2 linked regions of the Drosophila melanogaster genome follow. The protein of the gene in region 2 interacts with the protein of the main gene of each other region in a pairwise test. Each region holds a gene or a part of one and is shown on either strand. Other genes may lie near its edges.

Region 1 (6,954 bases), on a different chromosome or scaffold from region 2:
AAGCGTTAACCATATTTTTAGTTTAATTCAAACGATTATAGAACTGAAGGCCTAATGTGAAAAAAGTAATGTTTTGCTTATACAATTTAAATATAAAAAGTATTTCTATTTGCTGTTCATTTCTATTTACTAAATTCTAAGAGCAGTTTTCATGGGAAATTCCAACAATTTGCTTAAATAATAACTTGTAAATATTATTAAACAAAATTGCTGTTATGGCATGGAATTTCCCAAATCACTAAGAATTTAAATAAAAAAGAAAATATCAGAAGCGCTGCTCGAACGAAGTGCCTGGCAATTTGCGTTTCTCGTTTCAGCCTTCAATTGTTGTTAACTAATTTGCATGGCATTCTCGATGGACATGGCAACACGTTATCCTTTAGGTCCGTTGCAAATGGCTAACAGCAAACGGCAAACAGGTCCTGCCTTTCATTTCATTCACGTTCCAGAGTTTTTGGCTAAGGCATTTTATTGCCTTCATATTTCCATGTCCTGATCCCAGACGCTGTCATAAATTGCACTGGCCTGGCACAAATGAACCGTGCACAGGACGAAGGACGAAGGACGCAGGACGACGGCAGGGAGCAGGGAGCAGGCCAAGATAGAAGCACACCGATGCGCTTACATAATTTGAATAACTCACAAAAATGCACATTTATCGCATAATGCTCTCGTACATCAGCCTGGCCAGGACACACGCAGGACTTTTGCATGTGCCCCTCCCCCCCCCTGCTTGCGCTTTTCCCAGAAGGAACCCACTATTTTCAGGCTACTCTACACGACGCTTAAGTCCTGCCAAATGCCCTAAAATTAATAGATTAACTAGTTATTCCCGTGGATATTACGCAGCTCGCATGAACTTAAGCTGCAATTAAATATATTAGCTTGGTTTTGTGCTTAATTTTAGTCGTCATATGGCTTTCTTAAAATAACAACTAACATTTAACAATGTTATTAACACAAATTCGAAAGCACTAAGAATTTTTAATCGTATAATTGAAATGATATCATTTATGCCAGACAAACAAATTCGCCTGTCAGTTGCGGTTGAAGTGTACTTGGAATGTCCGGCTTTTCCAGCTTTTTCAGCTTTTTCAAATCTTCCTTTTGAAATCGTCCTTTTGGCTCCTTGCCGCTCAAGTACATTCTCAGCCTAGTTTATATGCCACAGAACACAGGACCCATGACAAAATCATTACAACCATTTCGTGTAGTTATCGTTACACATATGTATGTATGTATGTACAAAATACATACACTTGCCCCGCCCACTCGCCCCTTTTCATGATGTGATGTTGCTCTAGGAAATGGCAAAAGCTGTAAAAAATTTGCATTTTTATAACAACTTAAGTCACCAGACGACTTTACTTTTCCAAGCACTTGAACTGGTTTGCTTCCCATACAAAGTTTTGCATGCGTGTCACCCCCACTCAACTAACTCCTACTCCCCCGCCCCCCACTCGTGCCACGCCCCCCCCCCCCCCTCAGCCATATCTTGGCATAGCTAAACTATGAGCACGGCTAGAAATATAAATAAACACCATATTAGTTTTGGCACTTCAGACTTATAGAGTTTAATTACGAGCCTTAACTTTAAGTGAAATATGCATGTATGTATATATAATACAAATTGAAAGCACTCATAAAGTCATTCATTTCAAACGTTTTCTTACAGTGTAATCTAGTGCATTTATAAAAGCAGTTATATTTATGAACTAGAAAGAGAAAACGATGCTCCAAAAAAAAAAAAAGAAAGCATAACCAAAAAAATAGTGTCCATTTTGCAATTTGCCGCCGGCGCGGTGAACGCAAGGCAAAAATTGTTAAAAGACCAAAGGACGAGGGGGAAGTGGCTTCAAAGTGGGCGGAAAAGGGGCTTCAAATGGGCAGGGCGTGGCAGTGGATAAGTGGGGACATATGCAGGGAATAGCACCGAAAACAAAATAAAAAAAAAAAAAACAGCACCGAATTTCCTCAGCGGAAATTCATTTCGTTGAGAATTTTCCGGGCACGGAAATGATGAAGTCCATAATTGGAAGCACTAGCTTTATTCGCACAGAAACTAAAAGAAATTCTAAAAGAAATAAAAACAACTGCAAAGCAAATGGGTCATCTAGTTAATAAACTTTTGAGAATACCCAATATTTAAGTCGATGCTCTTCAAATGCAATTATTTTGGTTATTGGATTAGAAACATCGCTTGTGATAAAATCAGAAACTTAAAGCTGCCGCTGCAATTTGTATGACCTGCACCCACGAAATTGGCATTTTGGCGCCATCAAGTGATTTGCTGGCGAAATTACGTATGCAGAAAATGACCAACATGTTGCTCCCAGGACTGTGGCATAAAAAATTGGCATAGGAATGAGGCAGTTGCAAGGGGCAAGGGCAGGATGTCATATAGAAATGGCAGCATGCATACTAAAAATGCACTTCTGAGATGCACTGAAAGCAAACTTCTGAGACAAATATCTCAATCGAAAGTATATAAATCAGTATAAATCATTGAAAGGGGAATTAATGATTTTTTAGAAATAATCTTTAGAGTAAGAAAAGTGCTTGGGCTAGCATATTTTCTCGCAGTGTTCTGGCCTGGCTGCAAGGACCTCTGTCAGCGGCAACTTCTTACATATGCATGCCAGTGCGTCCTGGCTGGACAAACTCGATATGCATCGTGGAGCCCGGCGTCTCGGTGAATTATTTAAATAAATGGTGGAATGGTGGCGGGGCAGAGATCAAGCGACAGCTTTTTTATCATCGCCCCCTAAATCATGGCCACTGTGCCGTTGTCCTTCTGCAGGACCTTTTCCGCTTGTTAGTGGCGCTCGCTCGCACAACGATGGTAATTTGCAAAGCCAAAGGAATGCACGAGCATGGGCGACAACACTAAACTAAACTATATGCGAAATACCTAAACTTTGGAAACAAAACGTCAAAATAAATGAAGGAGCTTTTAATAAATTGCCAAAATATGCTTTGAAAAGGGAAGAGTTTCGTGAAAACGTGGGCTAAGCCACTAATTTAGTTGCATAGCATTTGTTATAAGCATTCAAACAAATAACTAACTAAAAGGTTTCTCTGCAAAAATGCAATATATACGATATATGGCTAAAAACGCGAAATTCATTTTTATTCCCTTTGCCATATTGAGACCAAATTCCTACACAATTCGTAGTCAACTTGCCATAAAAATAGCTTGCATATTTGCACTCACACATCCAGTCGGTGTCCAGAAATGAAGATGTCGGAAGTTGTCCTCCAAAAATGCGGGGAATGGGGGTTAAAAAGTTCTGGCCAAGAGTAGCTGGCCCGGGACTTATCGCATACAATGCGCATTAGCAGTGTCTACATGAGGCCCCATCAACTCATGCCCATCCTGTTCCTGTCCCCAGAACGGCTGTTGCATATTTCAAAGGACATGGCAGGGTCCGCTTTTTGTCATATCGTTTTGGAGCGCCTGAATCCGTTTGCCCTTTTCCTCGGCTGGAAAGTGTTTCTTCGGCTTTACTTATTTATATTTTAAGAGATGGTTTCCAAAAGTATCTATTATTGAAAAACAGATAACTAAAGCACAACTTTCTATAATTCAGCATATTATAGCAATGTGTTATATGTTAGTATATAAGTAGAAGCCATTATTTTATTAAAAAATAGAGATTTTTCTATGCACACATATTGATTAGATTTTTACTCGAGTTTCAATTACATTTTGAATTTGAACTCACCTCACTTGGTTTCGTTCTCGGCTACCGTGTGGTGAATAGCTGAGCGCGGTGTGTGCACTTGCTGGCCCATCGATAAGAAGCGGTTATTCCACCGATATTTATGTCTACTATTCCACACACTTTTTGCACATCCCTAAGCCCAATAGACTGCATTTTAATTTTCATTTATTTTCGCACACAAAATGGCTAGCACTGTCCGTAAATCCGCGTAGAAACGCTCGCCACTCGCATTTCAGTTAACAAAATGTCCTTGCAGGCCGGAACGAGTGGGTCGGGTGGCTTAAGCGGCGGCGGCGGCGGCGGTGGAAACCCCGAGGAGGCGCGTCGCATCTGGGTTGGGAATCTGGACTCACGGATCACCGAGTAAGTTGTGCCTGGCATATATGCAGTGCGATTCCATGGTGCTAATAGTTCAATTTGCATTGCCCCCTATCGGTTTCAACTCCTCAAACTGATGCAAAAATGCGGCGCCATCGAGAAGTTCGACATGCTGTTCCACAAGGGCGGTCCCATGGTGGGACAATCCAGGGGCTACGCCTTCGTCACCTTTGCGCAGGTGGGTGCAGTGCCTCATTGGCGGCAGGCGGTGCAGCGGCTTTAATCAAGAAAGGATCAAGGATTATTGTGCTTTTTAACTTGGCTATTTTGGTATTTAATCCTCAGTATTCTCAAGCTCATTTATGCAGTGCGGCGAACTCTGTATCTATACTCGCAGATGCACTAGCCTAAAAACGCAGCTATGTTATTTTTATATCTGTCACCCATACAGCAAAAGGGTACACGACTTGCAGAAAAGTATGTTCAAGAAGAAGGACTCTTTAAAATGCATATATACATCACTAACTATGTATATATATCATATAGATTCTATAGAATTTGTTATGTACAATGGTTTTCTACATCTTAGCTAGGAAAATACGCAAGCAACAACTTTAGAACATTGTCTAATAACCAGATATTAAGAATCAATTACATATGCTGAAAGTTATCTTTTAGGATTTGTCATTTTATAGTCAGCTTAAATATGTGGCTGCACCGCCTTGAATGATATTTATTACTTAGCTATTCCCACTCACCAATCCCAAAAATTCACTCCAGAACGAGGGAGCCACCAATGCGCTACTGAAACTGGACGGAACCAGCGTGGGAAATCGCTCGATAGCCGTGCGTTTGGCCAAGAACATTAAATATGTAAGCAAAGACCTTCGAGTCACCAAGCTAGCTATCCAAACTTCAAATCGATTCTGTTTCCTATATATATATAGGATGAAACGCAGAAGCCAAAGCCGCGCCTGGATATACCGGCCTTGGGCACAGGTAAACGCGAGGAGAAGGTCAGCAAAACGGAGGCCATTCGGGCCATTGAGGCCAAGCTGAAAATGTTGGAGCGCCAGACAGACGACAATCTCGAGCTGAATACAGCGGGCAGGGGCGAGGCCAACGTGCCCTTCATCCAGCGCTATCAGTTTAACAAGGATCGCGACGGTTCGCAGCGCTACGGAAAGTCATCGGCTCCATATCATCACCAGCAGCGTCCCAAGCGCCACTAGGCTCAATCGACCCACACTCGACTTTGCCACCGTCTCACGCATTAGTCTGTAAAAATCATTAGTACTTAGGGCGCTACCTCAGCAGACGAGCCTTGCAGGTGTAATTTACAATTAATTTATTAAAAAAAAAGGTACAATCAGAGCGAACGTCTATTTGGGTGCGAACAAGATCTTGCCGCGCATGTGATCGGGCAGCGGCACGGTTCCGGGACAGGGCACCTGGCCGGGGATCTCGCAGATGCAGTGCCTGCCGCATCCGTAGCCAAAGTTGGCCGGATTGTCCTTGCTCTCCTTTAGGCGCTCCTCTGCGTCCAGTTGCTCCCTGAAATTATGGAATAGGATGTGTATTAAGTTATAGCTTATGATGCTGAAAAGGTATCAGAACTGAGCTAGCTTCTTCTTAACTCCCAACTCATAGTTCTACAAAATGTGATACACGAATAGAATCTTGATGTGTGTTCTCACCGGGTTTTGCCCACCACCTTAACCAGGTGATCGATGATGTCGTTCCGATTCCGACTGTCCAAATCTATAAGCATATCGCGTCCATCGTCGAAGTAGCAGCGCACAAACGGCGAGGGCGTCATGTTCTTCAGCGTGAGCACCTGGACCTCGGGATTCTTGAACTGGATCTGCGGTATGTTCCAGAAAACAAAGTCCCTGTGCGCATTGCATTTATTAGCGTATATTTCAGTTATTAGACAATTCTATGCCATAACTTACCGAGCGCCCGCGTGATGAGCACCATATGTGTTGTAGTTCACGCTGAAAATGCGCACCTTGTCCTTCAGCACCAGCTTACCGGCATTCAGATACTTCAGGGTGCGGCGGATGGGCTCACGGCCCTTCATGAACGGCATTTTGCACTTTTAATTCAAATACGCCTAAGTAAAACAAAAGAAATCCAATAAAAGAGCGGCTGCTTGTGTAATGCGAACAGCTGATCGGTCGGCTAGTGGCTCCCACAAGGCGCAAGCGGAACTATCGATATAAGCGCGGTATCGATGCAGACCAGAAATGTTTCCACTTAAAAGAAAAAATACGAATATTTATATGTTTTTATATGGGCGTGGCAGTTTTGGGTGGTTTGTAGACGTAATAAAGAGACATCAGGAAGAAACCTGAGCTGCTTGCATAATCTTAACTTTCCAGCATTTGCTCTGACGAGCGTTAGAGTGGGTGTGGTAACATTTGGAAACAAACTTGCGTCTACGTCTCTAGAAGCTGCATGCTTCATCTCAATATTCTAGCTTTTATAGTTCCTGAGATCGAGGCGTTCATACGGACAAATGGACAGACGGACAGGGTCGGAACAACTCGGCTATTGATCCTGATCAAGAATATATATACTATACATACGGAAACACTTCCTTCTGCCACTTACATACTTTTCAACGAATTTAAAATACCCTTTACTCCACGCGTAACGGGTCTAAAAATGGGTAGAACTATTATTGACTAACATAATTAGAAAACGCGTTAAATCTTCAATCTTACATTTTTTAAATTAAAAAAAAATTTTTTTTTTTGAGCATGGTCTAAAAAAGATAAATGCTTGCTTATATTTCATTTCAGTGGAGTACGTCTATTAAATGAAACAACACTTTCGATTTCTCTGGTCATATATCGATAGATCCGTTAAGCCGAACCGGCTGGCTAATTTGTTTACCTCTTAAACT
Region 2 (10,862 bases):
ATCCCAAAATCTTACAACTGAAGTCTTCAAAGTGTAAGTATTATATAAATTAAAACCAAAAAGTCCCCATTACTTCTAAATAAATAATAAAAGACAAATGGTTTTCTAATTGTACTTTTAATACAAAATATACACATATGTATATATTCTTGCTTAGGATCACTTGTCGATCTTAACATAGTCCCCAGATTTCCACGTTTATACGGACGGACAGATCAAGAATATACTTGTAAGGGTCGGAAAAGTTTCTTTCTACCAGTTCTTCTTAACGAATCTAGCATATGGTGTACCATATTACTATACGAGTAGCGGGTATAATTAGATAATTACATCGACGCACTGTTACTCTGTAACAACTGTAACTGTAGAAAGATCTCAGAGGCGTACGCCGTAGTCGAAGGCCACAAGCTTTTAGTTCTAGTGACGAATTTAAAAGCACGCCGAATCCAGTGGTCTTGCGCAGTAAGCGAAAGAGAACGGACTGAAGAAGAAGCTCTCGATTTTTCCGGTAATATGCGAGGTATTGATTTTTCTATTTTCCGCTTGACATGGAGAAAACTTAAAGTTCTTTTTGAATCTATGTCCGCGGTATTTTTAAATTCTATACAATTAACTTAACCAACCATCTTAATAAGGGTAAACCAAAGACATAAGAATAACAAAAAATTTAAAAATTGGGCGTGGCAAAAAATTTATTTTGCAAATCGATAAATGTTTACACTACTAATAAAATGATGAAAAAATATCTAACAATTTTTCAAATATGTGGGCGTGGCAGTTTTGGGTGGTTTTAGGGCGTTAGGGTGGACGCGGCAAAAAGTTTTTTGTCAAATCTATAAAAAAAAATTCAAGACTAATAAAAATGTGAAGAAATATACGAATTAACAAGACTATTAAAAATATGAAAAAATATCAAAACAAATTTCAAAAGTTCCTAATATCTCAACGTTCATGCGGACAGACAGACGATTAGACGGACACGGTCAGATCGACTCGACTATTGATCCTTATGAAGAATATATATACTTTATATGGTCGGAAACGCTTTCTTAAAAAACAAAACATACATTTGTGGGCGTGGCAGGGTTGTTCGGTTTGTGAGCGTTAACGTGACCAAACCTTTTTTGGCATATTTTATTGTTTATCTTTCCCATTTCTAAAGATTTCCTACAAGAATTTCAAATTTGCTTCCCACTATCTAAATTTGTAAATTTTCCGCTAAACTAGGTTTATTTAGAAAAACTTCAATCCATTTTTATTTTTCAGCTGTTTAACATTATATGTTGTTCCAAGGCGTGAAACAAAGATTTAATACAGTAAGACAAACCGAAAAGAATTAATGTTGAAAATTCCCGTCTCTTAACGGTGTTCCACTCATTTTGGACTTACAATAGCAGTTGGAGTGCTCATAGTGCTCACGCGGACTGCCGCCTTCTAATATTCAACTGTGACACACTTGGTCTTAAGATACTCGTTAAGCGCCTCCTGACCCAAGTCCTTGCCATAACCGCTCTGCTTAAAGCCCCCAAATGGAGCAGCCACATCAGTCTTATTATATACATTGACGAACACAGTGCCGGCCTCGATGCGATCCGCAAAGTTAAGCGCTTTGCCAATATCCTTTGTAAAAACGCCACTGGCCAGGCCATACTCTGTGCGATTAGCTCGCTGCATCAATGAATCTATGTCGCTGCCATTGAACTTGGATATTATCATGATCGGTCCAAAGGACTCCTCTTGGGCAATAAACATATCGTCCGTAACGTTCGTAAACACTGTGGGAGTGAAAAAATATCCCTTGAGGTTTGGGACTCGACATCCTCCGTACACCAGCTTTGCGCCCTCGTCGACCCCACGTCTACAAAACTCCAGCAGTTTGTCAAAGTGCGCCTTGTGGTTCTGAGGCCCGTGGGCCGTCGAGCGGTCAAGTGGGTCCCCGATTGTCATGGTGCGCAAATCCTTAAGGACGCGTCGGATAAATTCGTCGTGTATCCGATCCTCCACGAAAAGCCGTCCAGCGGCGATGCAGTTCTCTCCTTTATTAAAAAACACCGAGGACATGCCCTAAATGAAAAAGAGGAAGTTACTGTTACTTATACATTGTATCGTTAGACTGTTTGGTACATTAAGCTAAGCAAGATACGATTAACCCATTATAAATAATTTTGACATACGGAATGTCCCGTATACGGTTTTCAATGAAAATACATAATATACATTTAATTAACTCGTAACAGGTATAAGTATTTAACTTTAAAGTAACATTTTTAATTATAATTTGTTATTTTTAACAGTACTTTCATTAACAAAGAAGCAGAAACAAAAGATAAACTCTATAGAATTAACTGTATGATATCGTACTAATACATTTTATATCTTTAGCCAACAGAGTTGACCGCATCAACAACATTGTTCCCAATCTAATTTAAAGCTAAATCATAAATGCTCTTTATTTATATTATTTATAGATCTTCACTCACGTGTTTGACGGCTTTGTCCATATCACAATCTGCAAAGATAATTAGCGGGCTCTTGCCGCCCAGCTCTAGGGAGCACTTTTTAAGGTTGGAGTCTGCGCATGACTTCATAATGTGCTTGCCAATGGGTGTGGACCCGGTAAACCCCAGTTTGCGGACCAGCTCATGGTCTGCCACTGCCTGGCCTGCATCTGAACCTTTTCCAGGCAGGACATTGATAACGCCGGGGGGGAATCCGGCTCGGACAGTTAGCTCTGCAAACTTTAGAGCGGTCAGGGGACAGGTCTGAGCAGGCTTTATGAGACAGGTATTCCCGGCGGCAATGCAGGCGGCCATTTTCCAGGAAAGCATCATCAGGGGGTAGTTCCAAGGCGTTATTAAACCGCATACACCAATTGGCTCCTTACGGGTGAAGGTCAGTACGTTGTTGGGTCTCGCAGGGTTAACAGGGATTGTGTTGCCCTGGATCTTGTCGCACCATCCGGCAAAGTAGCGCCACGCTTCGATGGACATTCCAACATGGGTTTTAAGGGCTAGCGTGTAAACCGCTCCCGAATCGACTGACTCAATTGTGGCCAGCTCCTCCTTATTTCGTTCCATCAGATCAGCCAAGTTCAGCATCAACTGGCCTCGTTGTCTGGGTGTTATTTGCCTCCAAGATCCATAAAAGGCAGAATGCGCTGCTCGCACTGCCTTGTCCACGTCGGTGGCCGAAGCGCATGCCACTTTGCAAAGCACTTCCTCATTAGTAGGGTTTACAATTTCCAAAGTGCGTTGAGCCTCGGCGTCAACAAACTCTCCGTTGATAAAAAGTTGTGTGGGCACTCGAATCTCTCTTTTGTTGGCTTTCAGCGTGAATGCCTCAAAATCGAGCTGCTGGTTACCGAAACCGGCACTTCCCTGTCGAAGGAACCTAACCAGCAGGCTAAAGAACTCTTCAAACACAGGCGCCATGAAAACTTGCTCGTTCTGCAGGGGCACGTCAAAGGCTTCTTTAACTTCCTCGACTAAGCGCACCACGTCCATTGAACCAGCTCCGGATGCAAAGAAATCAGTCGATGACTCGACATCTTCCTTAAGTATTGCCTTCCAAATTCCAGCCAGCAACGATCGCTTTACCAATTCGTCCTCGCTGAAGTCAGTGATAGACTGGTCCTCAGCTTGCTTAAACCACTCGCTGGCACTGATTACCTTTGTGCCACGCTTAATGCGGCGAATGTTGACAAAGGCACCGTCTGTTCCCTCTATAAGAAGACCACCGCTGTGTATCCAGGCGGTCTTTGTTAAGCCTCTTAGACGAAGAACCTTTCCATTCGACACGGGGCCAGCAGAGTACAAATGAGCACCAAAGAGTCGAATTTGCTCCTCTGTGCCATTCCCGTGCAGAACCGTTGCTATGGCTCCAGGAACTGAGTCCAGACCACGAACAAAGTTCCAAATTTTTTCTGCTGTAGCCTGAAGATTGATAACCTGATTTTCTGTTTTAAACATAGCCGGGTCGTAGGTTGCCCCCACTTCCGGCTGAATTATCTTGGGAGCTGTACCACTAGCCACCATGTCCACGGCGACGCCCATCGCCTTCACACCTTCGGGGTACAAAAAGCGCTTGTATATGGTGTCCAGAGTGTCCGTGGATTCCACGTTTGTTTGTCGGGTTAGCAGTAGGGGTCCTGTGTCAAGACCGTCATCTGCCCAAAAGATGCTGAAGCCGGCCACCTCGTCCCCCTCGATCAGTGTCCACGATATGGCACTCGCTCCGCGGTGACGTGGGAGGATAGAAGGGTGGTAACAAATGCTGCCCAATAGCGCCCCGTTAATCACCTCCATGGGAATGAATTGAGAACAGAAGGGCAACACATTCAGGGTAGCCCCCACGGACTTGTATTGTTCCAAGACCTCAGGTAGTGCCACGCCCTTGCGACGCCAGCATGCGAACTTAAAAACAGGTATATTGTGGATGGTAGCAGTAGTAGCCAAAATATCCTCTCGACTGCCTTTATCTGGAATAGTGAAGACTCCTACAATTTGGATATTTGAGCGATCCAACAGAAGCTCCAGAACATCAGCAGCAAAATTGCTCTGTCCTATAATTGCGATTCTCATTTTTAGCTGAAAAGCGCATTGAAATAAAAAGGAACAAATTTTAGAAGGATTTTTTTCATTTGTTTGGGTTGGCTACATCAAATATTAGTTTCCCCTTAATATAAAAATTCATAAAATAGTTAAAGCTTATTAATTTGTTTGGGTTGGTATGCTATTACGAAGAAAAATAAACATTTGTTTGTTTTATTTATTTATTACCTATTATTATTTATGAATATTTCAACAAACTTTTAAAAGTTGACTCTCGTTTATCTGATAGTCGGGTAACATGACTATAGCATTCTCTCTCATTCAGAAAGGACTTATCAAAATCAGTCTTTTTAAATGTATTGCTTGCTAACATTTCAGAGTAGAGTAGAATGCTGAGCAATGGAATATGAATATGTGCAATGTAAATAGGCTAATGAAAGACGTTATTGAGACAACAATAAAGAAGGGAAAATAATAAAAATGACATGTCTTAATCGCTCGAATACCGATGATTCCAATTGATTGATTTAGCATTCGATTTAAAGTATTACAATTTCCAGGACGGTTGGGTTTTGCGATATTGGATTGTTTACAGTAATAATAAATAATTAATTGCTTTTAAGTTGTGGGTTTCACGTTTTTTGCCGTTTTATGACAAATGGCCAAATTGTTTTTGGGAAGACAGGTAGAAGGACGCGTATATATTAAGTCTTTGATCTGACCAAGTCAAGTATGAACGCTGATTTCCGAAACTATATCGCTGCGGACGGCAGTCTACGAAGGGACGAAACGCACAAAAAATTTGCGATAGCTTTGGAAAATTTATCGCTCAAAAGTTGAACAATTTTATAAATGAAATGTTTAAAGTTTTTTCGATTCATTTCGAAAAAATTAGTTGATTAACATTTAAATATTAAAGTTTTAAAGGAAATTAATAATGACTTAATCTTCCTTTGTTTTCAAGAGCATCAAACTCAACCATCCTAACACGTTTTCTATTATATTAAGGTCTGGGGATTATGGTGGCCACTTTACATTTCCATTTTGAATCCATGTTTTTACCGAACGTGCAGTGTGGATTGGGGCATTGTCGTGCTGAAAATGCCATTCTAGATTTCCAACAACGTTTTTAAAGTAGGGAAATGCAATTTTTAATAATCTATTATAATCTTTCGCGTTAATTTTTGGTGTTATAAACTGCAATTCACAGGGAACATTATAGGATATAGCGACCCATAGTATGACACCTCCAACCCGACTGTGTAAGCGGTCCAAAATGAGCTCCTCTTTACGCAAGTCATGATAGTAATGACTGTAGCCGTCTGGTCCCTCCGCATTAAATTTATTTTCGTCGGGAAATACGACATAATGCCACTCCTTAGACCAAATCATATGAGCTCGGGCAAAACTCAGGTGTGCTTTTTTTTCAAAATTTATTAAGAGGTATTTTTTTATTCAGTTTTTCGTGTTTTAAATATTTAGCTTTCTAAAGCACCCATTGAATCAATCGTGGGAATTGGAGGGTATTCGACGTATAAACCTGCGATCTTCCGTGTTAAAGATAAGGTTATTGCCACCTTTATAGTTTTTTTCCACAAGTTTTCTTGTTTTTAAAAAAATGTCCTATAGTTTTCGATCTCTGCCGTTTTTTCTGCAAGTTCACGATGAGACAGCCCGCATTTATAGAAAAATATGATTTTGAATTTTTCCAGCGAGGATAACAATTCCCATTTTTTCGCTAAATTAAAGCAACCTAATCTAATGATTCAAAATACTTGCTCAATTTTTCGCCGAAAGTAAAACAAATCAGAATTAACAAGATAAAGGTTCTTCTCAGGACCTTTTTTATCCTCAAAGAGAAAGGAATATCAGTGAACAAAAAACAAGAACATTGATAGATTTTCGTGCAATGGCAAAATACAGAACATAAGAAGAAACGGAGCCATGCAGGGGGCGCTAATCTGATGACGCGCAGTGTAAGTTTGCACGAAGAAAGTCTGATAACGAGTAATACACCAATCGAAAGAGATTTTGAAAAGAAGTTGAAAAAATTATATGTAAGTGCAAAAATTTAAAAACATATTGTGGGACTGGGGTAAAAACACAGACAAAACTATTTAAGAGTTCTTGTCGTAAATACGCGTTGAATTACACCTTATTGAAAAATCGCCAAGCGTCTAAATCTTTTAAAAGCGATGGGACTTGGAAATCGAAATTTTTGTCAGTTTTTTGTCTTTTATAGATTCGTTGTAAAGTATATAACAGGTAGAAGGAATCGTTTCCGTCCATATGAGGTATATATTCTTGATCAGGATCAATATCCGAGTCGATCTGTCCTCATCCTTCTTATATTTTTTTATTTTTTTATTGGTCGTTTGAATTTTGATCGATTTGCAACAGAAATTAGCTTTAGCTAAGCTCACTCTTACGCCCAAAAATTCCTAATTTTTTCATTATACTCTCCAATATCTATCGATATGCCAGAAAAATTATAAAATTTTCCGATCTTGCTTCCACTAGCTGAGTAACGGGTATATTATAGTCGGAGAACTCGACTATAGCATTCTCTGTTGTTGTTGTATGAAAAGCACTGGGTATGATTTTGTCGGCATTTTTTATTTGGCGACTACACAGGAGACTAATTGTACTGTAGGTAATAACGCGATGCCTCTACATACACACATGTGCATATCAATTATGTATCAAATTTCGTGGTCCGAAAGTTTATTCTTAAAGCGACTTATTTAAATCAGATGTATACTAACAGCCATTACTGGTGAATACTCTTCAGCACTTTAGAAAAAACAATATTAATCAGGTAGCTTTCAATATTGTACTCTACACTCCGTTTTCACTTGGGTATTTTCTCAGAGCCTGCAAACTATCAACTGACTTCGTGTTTACAATTCGGGCCGTATTTATACCTTGACAGCACTTGAGCACTTCATTATCGTTATCAACTATTAAAAACAAAAACCCCTAAAGTGGAAGCTCAATTCGACAAGCCGAAGCTGTTATACCCTTGCAATAACAACGGACGGACAGCTATATCGACTCAGCTGTTTATACAAATCAAGAATATATACTCTCTACAAGGGTATACAAAAACGTATGCAGCCTATTGACAATAGCTCACAAATTAAATTATAGAAACGAGCTGATAATACAGCGGGCGATAACTTCGGAAAGCGAATATGATGAGCGTACTAATAAATGTATACCTGTTACTCGTTGAGAATGGAGTATGGTGGATTCGTTAAAAAGTATGTAACAGGTACAATGGACCGTTTTCGCCGCTTTAAGGTATATATTTAACTCATCCGCATACAATTTTTAGTGAATCCTAACGTAAACCGTACAAAATCGCCAACAACACTAAAGTCTCTCTGGCGGCCACGTCGTGCTCAAGGTATTCGTAGGTGATTAAATTGTTATACCCGTTACTCGTAGAGTAAAAGGGTATACTAGATTCGTTGAAAAGTATGTAACAGGCTGAAGGAAGCGTTTCCGACTATACTAAGTTCCAGCCACATCCGTCTATCCGTATGAACGTCAAGATCTCAGGAACTATTTAAGCTAGAAGGTTGAGATTCAGCGTACAGATCTAGAAACAAAGACGCAGCGCAAAGTTTGCTGACCCATGTTGCCACTCCCACAAACCGCACAAAACTGCCAAGCCCACACTTTTTATAAATGTGTTAACGCCCTAAAACCGCCAAAACTGCAACGCCCAAATTTTTGAAAAAATTTTCGATTTTATATGGAAAAAATAATGAAATTTCGCGTTCGCATTCACACTAGCTGAGTATCTGATAGTCGGGGAACTATAGCATTATCTGATTTTTTTTTTTTTTTGGGTCATCAATATTTAAATAATAATTCGTTTTTAGAAAATTGGCGATAATAGTTAAAAGTTTGTTCCAAGTTTTTTGGAAAGTGCCATCACATCACTGCATGCTGAAATTTCAGTTTACTAAGGAAATTTATGCTTACATAGATCTATAACGTACCTTCGCACTTCTATTATCTCCATAATGGGTATCTGACAGTCGCGGCCCTCGGACCGCTTTCTCCCGTTTACGACCAGAAGGCTGGACAAAATTTTTATTGGAATTAATATTGTTCCAGTGTACAACGAAGGTATATCAATTCCATTACAAATTCAACAACACATTTATTAAATTACTCTTTCTCCTGAAAAGATTGTTTGCATTGGCATATATATATATGAGGCAGGTAATCCAAAAAGGTGGATTCCTAGGTGGTTAGCAATAACGGAACAATATTGACTGAGAAGGCAAGTTATCCGATCAATTAGAAAATTAGTAGCTCATAACGCCAAGTGGTAGAATTTAAATATTCAGGCAATATCATTTACTTACAGCATAGAGCCAGTATATTTTCAACCGTACGGCATGCTCTATTCCTTTCATCCGTACCTCAAATACTTTGCCCTTTTGGGGCTTGTGCCTTGGTCAGAGAGTTGTGCCCAATCTAAGTTCGTACAGAAAGTGTACTCAGCGATCCTAATAATTTTAAATGCAGTTCATTTCGGGATTTCAATTTATTTTCCTCAGAGTGCAGAACTATTTCTTTCTCTTATGGTTAACGTGATTGTTTTCGTAGCTAGGATTGTGTGTGTTACTGTGATTATACTTCAGGTGATGGTTCACTACGATGACTACTTCAGGTTCTGCAGAGAGATGAAGTACTTGGGACTTCGATTGCAGTGCGAACTTAAAATACATGTAGGGCGGTTAAAGTGGCAGTCGTATGCTAAAATTCTAGCACTCGGTATTGGATTTTTGGTGACGGTATTGCCATCCATCTATGTTGCTCTAAGCGGTAGCCTTCTCTACTTTTGGTCCTCCCTCCTGTCAATCCTTATTATAAGGATGCAATTCGTATTGGTTCTTTTGAACGTAGAATTGCTGGGTCACCACGTGAGTCTGTTAGGCATACGACTTCAAAACGTACTAGAGTGTCATCTGATGGGCGCCAACTGCACATTGGACGGCAATGCCAATCGGCTTTGCTCCCTAGAGTTTCTGTTAGCACTTAAGCAGAGCCATATGCAACTGCATTATCTGTTTACCCACTTCAACGATCTTTTCGGCTGGTCCATACTTGGCACCTACGTGGTTCTGTTTTCAGATAGTACCGTCAATATTTACTGGACCCAGCAGGTTCTGGTAGAGGTTTATGAATACAAATACCTTTACGCAACATTTTCCGTTTTTGTACCCTCATTCTTCAACATCTTAGTGTTTTGCCGTTGTGGAGAGTTTTGCCAACGACAGGTTATAAAAAAACAAGAAAGGAAGCTAGCTTCGGCAAGCCGAAGCTTATATACCCTTGCAACAATTTAATTTATGAAAAAAAAGAAACAATTTATGATCAAAAACAAAATCAAATATTCCCAAGGTAGCTTTATGATATTGTCGTCCGATTTTGATCAAATTCAAATCAAAAATATCTTTTGTCTAAAAACTATCAAACCATCAAATTAAGGAAGGATTTTATTTTCCATTAATTAGCTGAACTATTTTCGACTCTTCCTCTAGGTATATTCTATTGTATATTCGTTCCTGAGATGTTTATCAAAATTATATATTTTCGAATACTGGTGTATATCGAATTATAATTTTGTTTCTAATATTTTCCAAGAGGAAAATCGTCTACTTCTGATTTATACCTGCAGTTAAACTGATAGAATCGAACGGATGTGTCGAAACGGTCGAACGGTTGAAAATAATCTGACTGAAATCAATGTACCATATGCAAGGGTATACAACTGAACTTTTTTTAATATCAAAATATAAAATCCATTCACATACACACATGCATATTGTAAATTGCGTAATCATAAAAATGTGATGTTATAAACAGCTGCCTTCCATGTTGAAATAAAGTTATTTCCACCCCATTCAGAGTGTCTTGATTGGAAGTTATTTAAGGAACTTGTCCTGCCATCCCTCGATTGGAAGAGAAACTTCGTATAAAGATCTGCTGATGGAGTTTATTTTGCAAGTGGAACAAAATGTATTGGCTATCAATGCTGAGGGCTTTATGAGCACTGATAATTCGCTTCTAATGTCGGTTTGTATGATTTCGTTTCCAAACTAAGCGCTATTTAAATATATTTTTACATTTTCAGATTTTGGCTGCGAAAGTTACCTATTTAATCGTGCTTATGCAATTTAGTTCAGTCTAGTAATTGCTTAACCCTTTTCTCTAATTTAAAAAGGACTACGAAAATATATGAAACAAAATGTATCACTTCATAAAATTATCACACTGTATTTTATTCCT

The links. Proteins that work in one complex are often made in the same cells at the same time.
Region 1: the proteins of CG8665 (region 2) and CG14414 interact in a two-hybrid assay, tested with the Drosophila melanogaster proteins (one large-scale study listed by BioGRID).

What each region holds. Positions count from the first base shown.
Region 1 is NC_004354.4:14,576,759-14,583,712, forward strand, and holds CG14414 (uncharacterized protein), read left to right. Parts: upstream 1-3,841; 5' UTR 3,842-3,907; coding exon 3,908-3,919; exon of another isoform or gene 3,920-3,981; coding exon 3,982-4,088; intron 4,089-4,136; coding exon 4,137-4,281; intron 4,282-4,823; coding exon 4,824-4,916; intron 4,917-4,990; coding exon 4,991-5,275; 3' UTR 5,276-5,416; downstream 5,417-6,954. Other genes in the region: mRpS25 (mitochondrial ribosomal protein S25), read right to left, coding at 5,426-5,597, 5,741-5,935, 5,999-6,135.
Region 2 is NT_033779.5:21,367,810-21,378,671, reverse strand, and holds CG8665 (uncharacterized protein), read right to left. Parts: upstream 7,446-10,862; 5' UTR 7,322-7,445; coding exon 7,316-7,321; intron 4,587-7,315; coding exon 2,481-4,586; intron 2,065-2,480; coding exon 1,435-2,064; 3' UTR 677-1,434; downstream 1-676. Other genes in the region: Gr39b (gustatory receptor 39b), read left to right, coding at 8,966-9,850, 10,482-10,649, 10,708-10,764.